Ovis aries: one gene and its partner. The protein of the gene in region 1 interacts with the protein of each later gene in a pairwise test. Links are inferred from orthologs where the notes say so. Each region holds a gene or a part of one and is shown in the gene's direction. Other genes may lie near its edges.

Region 1 (3,513 bases):
TCTGCACTCCCCTGGGCTGTCTGACTTCTTTCTGCAGAAGGAAGGGCCGGGTATGTCCACTGCAGCATGGAGCTGGCTTGGGCCCTCACCAAGTTATCCTTTGCACTTGAAGGCACTTGGCCTCACTGAGCAGTTTGGTTTATATCAGCAGGACTTGCAATGATGAGTCCCTGCCCACAGCCTGTCTCTAATGGCCAGGCAGCTGCCTCTGGAGCTGGATGCATAGGTGGCCCCAGCATTTGCTGGGCTCCTCTGGCTCTGACGGCCACATATTTCCTAGGGTTTCTCACCCTCGTGTCTGCCCTCTGCTTCCCAGCAGGGTAGGGAGCTGGTCTGGACCTTGAAAGTGGCACCGCTCCCTTCTGATCCTCCCAAGATGAACTGAGTCTGCATTTTCCCCAGGTTGTTGCCAAGCTCCAGGAGACGGAGCGGCGGCTGTGTGACCGAGAGGTGGTGCTGAAGGCCGTGACCCGAGAGAGAGACCAGGCCCTGCAGGCTCTGCGGACACATGGGCTACTCCCTGAGGAGGAGGCGCAGGTGAGGGGCCGCCCTCCTCCTGAGTCTCCCTTGCAGCTCTTCCTCCCAGGCTCCTTGGAGATACCCGCTACCCCCACCAGAGGGGAAGCACGCCAACCAGAATCAGCACTGGAGGTAGATCTTTGCAGCCATGTTTCTTTTAAGATGACTGTTCACACCAGGTGAGACCAAAGCTCAACCAGCTAATGGGAATCTGCACTCAATCTTCTTTGTGTCTTTAGTATCTGAAATATCAAAAAACCTCAAATTCAGATATTGTACCATGGCAGACGGTAACACAGAGAACCAAAAGGTCAGAGCTTTATCCCAAAACACGCTTCTACACATGTGGTGACTGAACCATTCGATATGTAACGATGGCCGTTCCTCTCAAAAAGCACAGACTCCCGTGCTGCTGTGTGCCAGCCAGAGCCTGACACTGGCTATGGGACGACCCCAAGGTGAATGGTGGCCCCGAAAGGCGTATTCTAGTCCTGGTGCCTCAGGGTGCAACCTTCCTTGGAAATAGGGTCTTTATGGATGTGATTAGTTAAGATGGATGATTAATTAAGATCACATGAGAGCATCCCAGCAGGCATACTAGGCTTGATGCCCTAGGGGTCAAGCTCCCGAAGGTGTGTCTGTTAACAAACCTCTGGGAAGATTCACACTCAGCCAGTGGTCAGGCTTGGGAGCACTGGTGTTCCCAGGAGGAAAGGGGGGGCCAACCCTAGTCTCCAGGGTCACCTATGGTCCTGGGGACTCATCGCTGGTGGTTTTTGCATGGGTACCTTCTCTAGGTAGAAAACAAATGCTTCTTTTTTGTTGTTTTTATTAATAAGCCTCCCTACCCAAATTTTTCTTTTTTGTATTTTACCGCCAGGCTGACAATTAAAAGAAGACATTTGTCTCCAAGCACCAGCTCCGCTGGTCAGGGAGGCCTGTCAGTACCTAGTTGCCTTGTTAAGTGAACAGGAACCTTAGAAATGGCTGAGGGGTCAGAAACAAGTGCCGCATGCAGAGTCGGGGGGATGTGCACCTCTGTTCTGTACAGGGGGCCCTGGAGGCAACATGAGGGGGCGTGGCAGAGCAGCACCTCGGGCACCAGTGAAGGTGAGCTGGCCTGGTGGTCTTAACACAGAGATGTGGCCTCCTTACCAAGCAGGGACCTGGGGTGGTGGAGGATGCTGTGCAAGTTTCTGTTGACCCAGAGGAGTGAAGTCTGGAATCCTCTAGATAATAGCAAAACACCTGCGTCCCCCCTTCAGGGCCTTAATACTGTGACCAGGTTAAGGGTGTGGCCGGGTAAGGCGGCGGATGTCGGCTGGCAGGCGGCGGTTGGTGCTGAGTTCTGTAGAGGTGGGCCCTTGGCAGACACTAAGTAGGAGCAGCAGGGGCGTCTGTCGTGCACTGAAGCCGAGACAGAGGCTGCTCAGGGAGGAAGACATGGCGCTTCCTGGGAAGCGCTGAGCCCACCACTGATTGCACTGCACAGACAGGCAGCCTCTTGGCTGTGGCCACAGCTTCCTCTTTGCTTGGCACTAGTTTCGATGATGGCGCATCGGCAGGGCCGGAGTGATCACCCCACAGAGACCAAGGCACCACCGCCAGGCAGGCTGCTAGGGTAAATGCAGCCACAGCCACAGGGACAGAAGATTCACCTTGGGAATGGGCTGCACTGCAACTTTGAGGTGGATCCTGTTGTTCAGGACAAGGAAGCTGAGGCCCTAAGAGGGGTAGTCCCTTCCCCACAGGTGGCAGAGGGGGAATGTGAGCAGTGCTGGCCAGTTGGCACAGCCCTGACCACTCTACTGTCTGCCTGAGCAGGTGCAGCCTAAGGCTTTGCCTCAGAGAAGGTGGCGAACAGCCCAGTGGGCACAAAGAGGGAGGTTGGATGTTTGCAGGAGGAGTAGTAAGGCAATAGCAACCCACTCCGGTACTCTTGCCTGGCAAATCCCATGGACGGAAGAGCCTGGAAGGCTGCAGTCCTTGGGGTCGCTAGGAGTCAGACACGACTGAGTGACTTCACTTTCACTTTTCAGTTTGATGCATTGGAGAAGGAAATGGCAACCCACTCCAGTGTTCTTGCCTGGAGAATCCCAGGGACGGGGGAGCCTGGTGGGCTGCCATCTATGGGGTCACACAGAGTCGGACACGACTGAAGCTACTTAGCAGCAGTGGGGCCAGAGCAGTGGCTGGAAGGAGGCAGGCAGGTGCATAGCGGAGCCAGAGGTGGCTTGAAAAGCTGGGGACTAGCGGTAACAGAAGAAATAGCTTCACTTTGGAAACAAAAGTAATATATACCACTGCAGAAATTTTACATTAGTTCACCCTAGTGCTCTCTGGAATAAAGCTGACCCAATGTTCACCCCAGCTCAACTCCATGGCCGGACCTCTCGGCGTGGTATCTTAGTGGGAAGTCTTCTAGGTTTCATTGGTTCTTATGAGAAGTTGGCAGTTTCTTTTATTTGTCCTTCCGCAGGAATGTAATGTGCCCTTTTTCCTCTGGTGGTTTTTAAGAGATTTCCTTCATCCCTGTTTTTAAACAGTTTGACCATGATGTGCTCTTTGGTGTGACTTTCTTTGTGTTTATCTTACTTTGGGTTTGTTGAACTTCTTGGATCTGTGGACTCAGGTTTTCATCAAATTTGAAATTTTTTTGCCAACGCGTTCTGCATCCTTCTGCACCCCCTCATTGATCTGGGTTCGTGTATGTCTGCTTCCCATTGTTCTGCAGTCGTTAGGCTCTGCTGTTACTTGTTCTTTTGTCTTCCACTCTGTTCTTGAGCTTGAAGGCTTTCTACTGCTCTGTGTTTATGTTCACTTAGCCTTTCCTCCTGTAGTATCTTATCTGCTCTTAATCCCATCCTATCCAGTGAATTTTTCCTTCAGACAATGTATTTTTCATCTCTGTAGATGCTATTTTGTTCTTTTTGATATCTTCCATTTCTGTTTTTTCATATTTTTCTTTAAATCCTGGCATATATTTATGCAAAC
Region 2 (4,085 bases), on another chromosome or scaffold:
CAGGATCTCAGGGAGCCCGTCTCAAATTCCCCAGATTTAGGATTTGAAAGCAGCCCCCAGCCCCAGCCCCAGTCTCATTATAAAATTCCCTTTTTAGAATCCACCTTCCAACCCTTCATAATCTTGAAGCAGACTGGGAGTTTTGTGTTGGTAAAATGGGTTCTTCTATAACAATATCCTTTCACCCTCTCCATCATGTTTAGGGCAAATCCCAAGACCTTCCCACAGCCACTGGGCCCTACATGATCCGACCTCTGAGCCCCCACTGAAGTTTAAAATGTCAAAATATCAAAGAATATTACAAATGATTGTATGTCAGTGAAAATAAAAACTTAACATAAAGGCCTTTTCAGAAAAAATAGATCAATAGCCAGTAAAGAAAATTATAATCTAAGACTCCAGTGCAAAAGAGTCCCAGTGGAAGGGGAACAGATGGTCCTTATCTTATACTAGTTGTTCCAGAAAACAGAATGAGAAGAGGCTGCCCACTTCCTCACACAACTCCCAAACCAGATAAGGACAGTATCAGAAAAGGAAAAGTATAGAGCATTTCAATCTGAACCTGGAAGCTAAATTATGATCTACTAGAATAAAATGTAGGAGAAGAAGGCCCCACCTCGGAGTAGGGTAAGGACTTAAGACATTCAAAAGGCAGACCCTCATGCAAAACCTTTATGGATCTGACTACATCAAAATTCAGGATTTCTCCGAATCAGGGATGCAGAGAATAGACTGCTGGTTGCCAAGGGGGAGGAGGGTGGGAGAGGGTTGGATTTGGGAGTTTAGGATTAGCAGATGCAAGCTGGTATGTATAGAATGGATAAGCAACAAGCTCCTACTATGTAGCACAGGGAACTATATTCAGTGTCCTGTGGTAAACCATAATGGAAAAGAATACGAAAGATGATAGAGATACACATGTATAACTGAGTCACTTAGCTGTACAGCAGTAATTAACACATTGTAATTCAACTATACTTCAATTTAAAAAAATGAAAAAAATTAAGGATTTCTGCTCCACAAAGGCCCTCAGAGATAATATTGACAGACAGGTGGTTGCAATCTAGTGAATACAGAACTCCTGCACAAGTTAATAATAAGAAGCATAATACGCAGCTGTGAACAGAAACAAGCAGCTCACAGGAAGGGCCCAGAGGCAAAAAAGTAATGCAGAGCGGGTTGAAGAGGTAATCAGCACAACTCAGTTAAACTTACAATGAGGGGACGTCCCTGTCTGCCCAGTGGTTAGGGCTCCGTCCTCCCAGTGCGGGGGGTACAGATTCGATCCTTGAAGAAAGTGAACGTGTTAGTCACTCGGTTGTGTCTGACTCTTTGCGGCTCCATAGACTGTAGCCCTCCAGGCTCCTCTGTCCATGGGATTTCCCAGGCAAGAATGCTGGAGTGAGTAGCCATTCCCTTCTCCAGATCTTTCCGACTCAGGGATTGAACCCAGGTCTCCTGCATTGCAGGCGGATTCTTTACCATCTGAGCCACCAGGGAAGTCAATTCTTGGTGGAGGAATTATGATCCCACATGTGGCATGGCCAAAAGATTTTTTTATTTTTAATTATAATGAGATATCTTTTTTTTTTTTTTAAACCAGGAGGCAGATAGAGGGAGAGGGACGCGGCAGGTATTATCTGCTGTCTTCACAGGGTGTGAAGACCCTTTGGGATGGATGGTCCAGAGATTCCTTTGAGAGATGGAGAAACACAGGCTGAGCAAGAGTAGGAGGATTATACCGAGTCCATAGGAAGTCCGGACTTGGCCTGGATCTCTGGACTCCTGGGCCTGGACTCTTCCTCAGCGTCCTGCCGAACTCTCCCCTCTGGAAGGAAGCTGGCCTTACATAGAGCCTTCCTGGTCTGCTTTTGCCAGAGCCCTTGAGACAGGCTGAGGACTGGTTGCCATAGAGATGGTGGGCCGGGCAGTTCCAAGGTTGGCAGATGGGGGTGGGGGATGGGGCAAGACACCAATATGCTAAACGCCCACCAACAGTTGGTCAGGACTTCTTCCGGGAGACCTGGGCAAGACACACGGCAGCAGGCTCCAGGGGCCACCCCAGGTCTGCTCAAGCTTCTCTCAAGCACCCACTATGCTGAGCAGGTGAGAGGGGGCCCCGCGGGGGGACCGCCAACCGCCCAGAGGCAGGCTGGCTCTCTGGGGTGGGAGGTCAAGGTTGAGGGAGGCCACAAGATTGGAGCTGAGGCCCAGAAGAGAGTCAGGGAGGTCCGAGACGGGCAGGGACGTGGGGTGAAGTGGAGGATGGTGCCCAGTTATGACTCCCAGGCTTCTGATGGGGCAGTTTTGGCAAATTGGGAGGATTTGGGTTTCAGGAAAAATGATGAGTTTTTCCCTCCTTGGCTTTGCAAGGCCAGGGCCCTGTGGGGCACTGAGAAGACCTGTCCAGGGCCCAGAGGCAGCCCAGGGCAAAGGGGGCAAATCTGGGCTCTAGGACAGTCCACACATTAGGTCCTGGCTCTGCTTCCTGGCTGTGTGACTTTAGTCAAGGGACTTCACCTCGCTGAGCCTCAGTGTTCTCATCTGCATGATGTGGGTGAGAGTAAGCAAGGACCTCATAGGATCCTTGTGTGTGTGTGTGTGTGTGTGTGTGTGTGTGAGTGTGTGAGTTCAATAGCTCAGTCAAGTCCGACTCTCTGAGGCCCCATGGAGCATAGCCTGCCAGGTTCCTCTGTCCATGGAATTTTCCAGGCAATCATACTGGAGCAGGTTGCCATTTCCTTCTCCAGGGCATCCTCCCGACCCAGGGATTGAACTCACACCTTTTGCGTTTCCTGCATTGGCAGGTAGATTCTTGATGACTAGAGCCCCCTGGGAAGCCCCATAGAGTCCTTGGGAAGGAAGGTTAAGTGAGTTAGTGCAAGAAAGTCGTGGGCATGCAGCAGATGCTCGGTGAATAGCACCATTGCTTTTTAAGATTTATTTACTTATTTTTGGCTGCTCTGGGTCTTTGTTGCTGCAGGTGGACTTTCTCTAGTTACAGTGAGCGGGGGCTGCTCTTCCTTGTGGCGCTCGGGCTTCTTATTGCAGTGGCTTCTCTTGCTGCGCAGCACAGGCTCCAGGTGTTCAAGCGTCAGTAGTTGCGCCGTGCAGGTTCAGTAGTTGTGGTTCACGGCTCTAGAGCGCAGGCTCCTTAGTTGTGGTCCACAGGTACAGTGGCTCTGCAGCATGTGGGATGTTCCCAGATCAGGGATCAGACCCGGGTTCCCTGCACTGGCAAGCGGGTTCTTAACCACTAGACTGCCACTGTTGCTATTTTAATAATAATTCAGGTCGTGATCTGTCAGTTCCAGGGGTAACAAGGGCCCAGAGGGCCAGGCGGGGTGCACAGTACTGTCCGCTGGGTGAGTGGCTCAGAGCTAGGCCTCCTCTCCTACCTTCGCCCAGAGGAGTCTTGGAAGTGGTGATGGTGTTATCCATGCCCAGAAGCAGAGGTCTCAGAGCGCGGGGCAGACACCAAAGAAGAACCGGAGGCTCAGAGGCCGGAACAAGAAAGGGCAAAGCTCTGCGGAAGCTGAGGAGTAAGTAGCTGTGGAGGGACGGGAGGGATGCAGGGGGCCAGGCCCCGCTGGGGGCCGGCGTCCAGGCCCTGACCCCTGCCCCCTGCCCTCTCCCTCCTCAGTCTCGTCCCCTCTCCTCCTCGGAAACCCTCCTTCCCCTTCCAGTGGGCCTGGGAGAGCTTCACCGCAGACGGCCGGGCCTTGCATCAGCCGAGCTCCATCTCGGCCCCTGGCCCCCAGGCCCTGCCTTTGCCCCCAGCGGTCCATCACCACAGGTCCCGGCGCAGGTCCACGCCCACCCTCCTGGAGGCCCACGGCTTCTGCTGGAAGGCAGAGGGGCCGAACCTGGAGAGGAGACAGCAGCTCAGGGCCTGCAGCTGCACCGCCATCCCTCCGGGCAGGGGGACGAGCCAGGAGCTGGAGCTACCCGGGGAGGGAGGCCTGCAGTCACCCAGGAAGTCCTTGGGGTCTGGGTCGGAGCCCGAGGAGTCTGAGTTGGAAGGTCTGGGAGACGAGGAGGCCGAGAGGGGTCTGATTCCGGGAGAACTGCCCCAGCTCCCCAGG

The links. The genes of interacting proteins can lie anywhere in the genome.
Region 2: the proteins of CCDC57 (region 1) and TSGA10IP interact in binary tests that used the Homo sapiens proteins (3 or more experiments, as listed by UniProt). The two-hybrid records come from large-scale screens. The link is inferred for Ovis aries from reciprocal best matches to the Homo sapiens genes CCDC57 and TSGA10IP.

Annotation. Positions count from the first base shown.
Region 1 is NC_056064.1:50,203,076-50,206,588, forward strand, and holds part of CCDC57 (coiled-coil domain-containing protein 57), read left to right. Parts: intron 1-402; coding exon 403-537; intron 538-3,513. UniProt on the Homo sapiens protein: Pleiotropic regulator of centriole duplication, mitosis, and ciliogenesis. Critical interface between centrosome and microtubule-mediated cellular processes. Centriole duplication protein required for recruitment of CEP63, CEP152, and PLK4 to the centrosome.
Region 2 is NC_056074.1:40,484,859-40,488,943, forward strand, and holds the start of TSGA10IP (testis-specific protein 10-interacting protein), read left to right. Parts: upstream 1-1,283; 5' UTR 1,284-1,959; coding exon 1,960-2,106; intron 2,107-3,408; coding exon 3,409-3,542; intron 3,543-3,643; coding exon 3,644-4,085.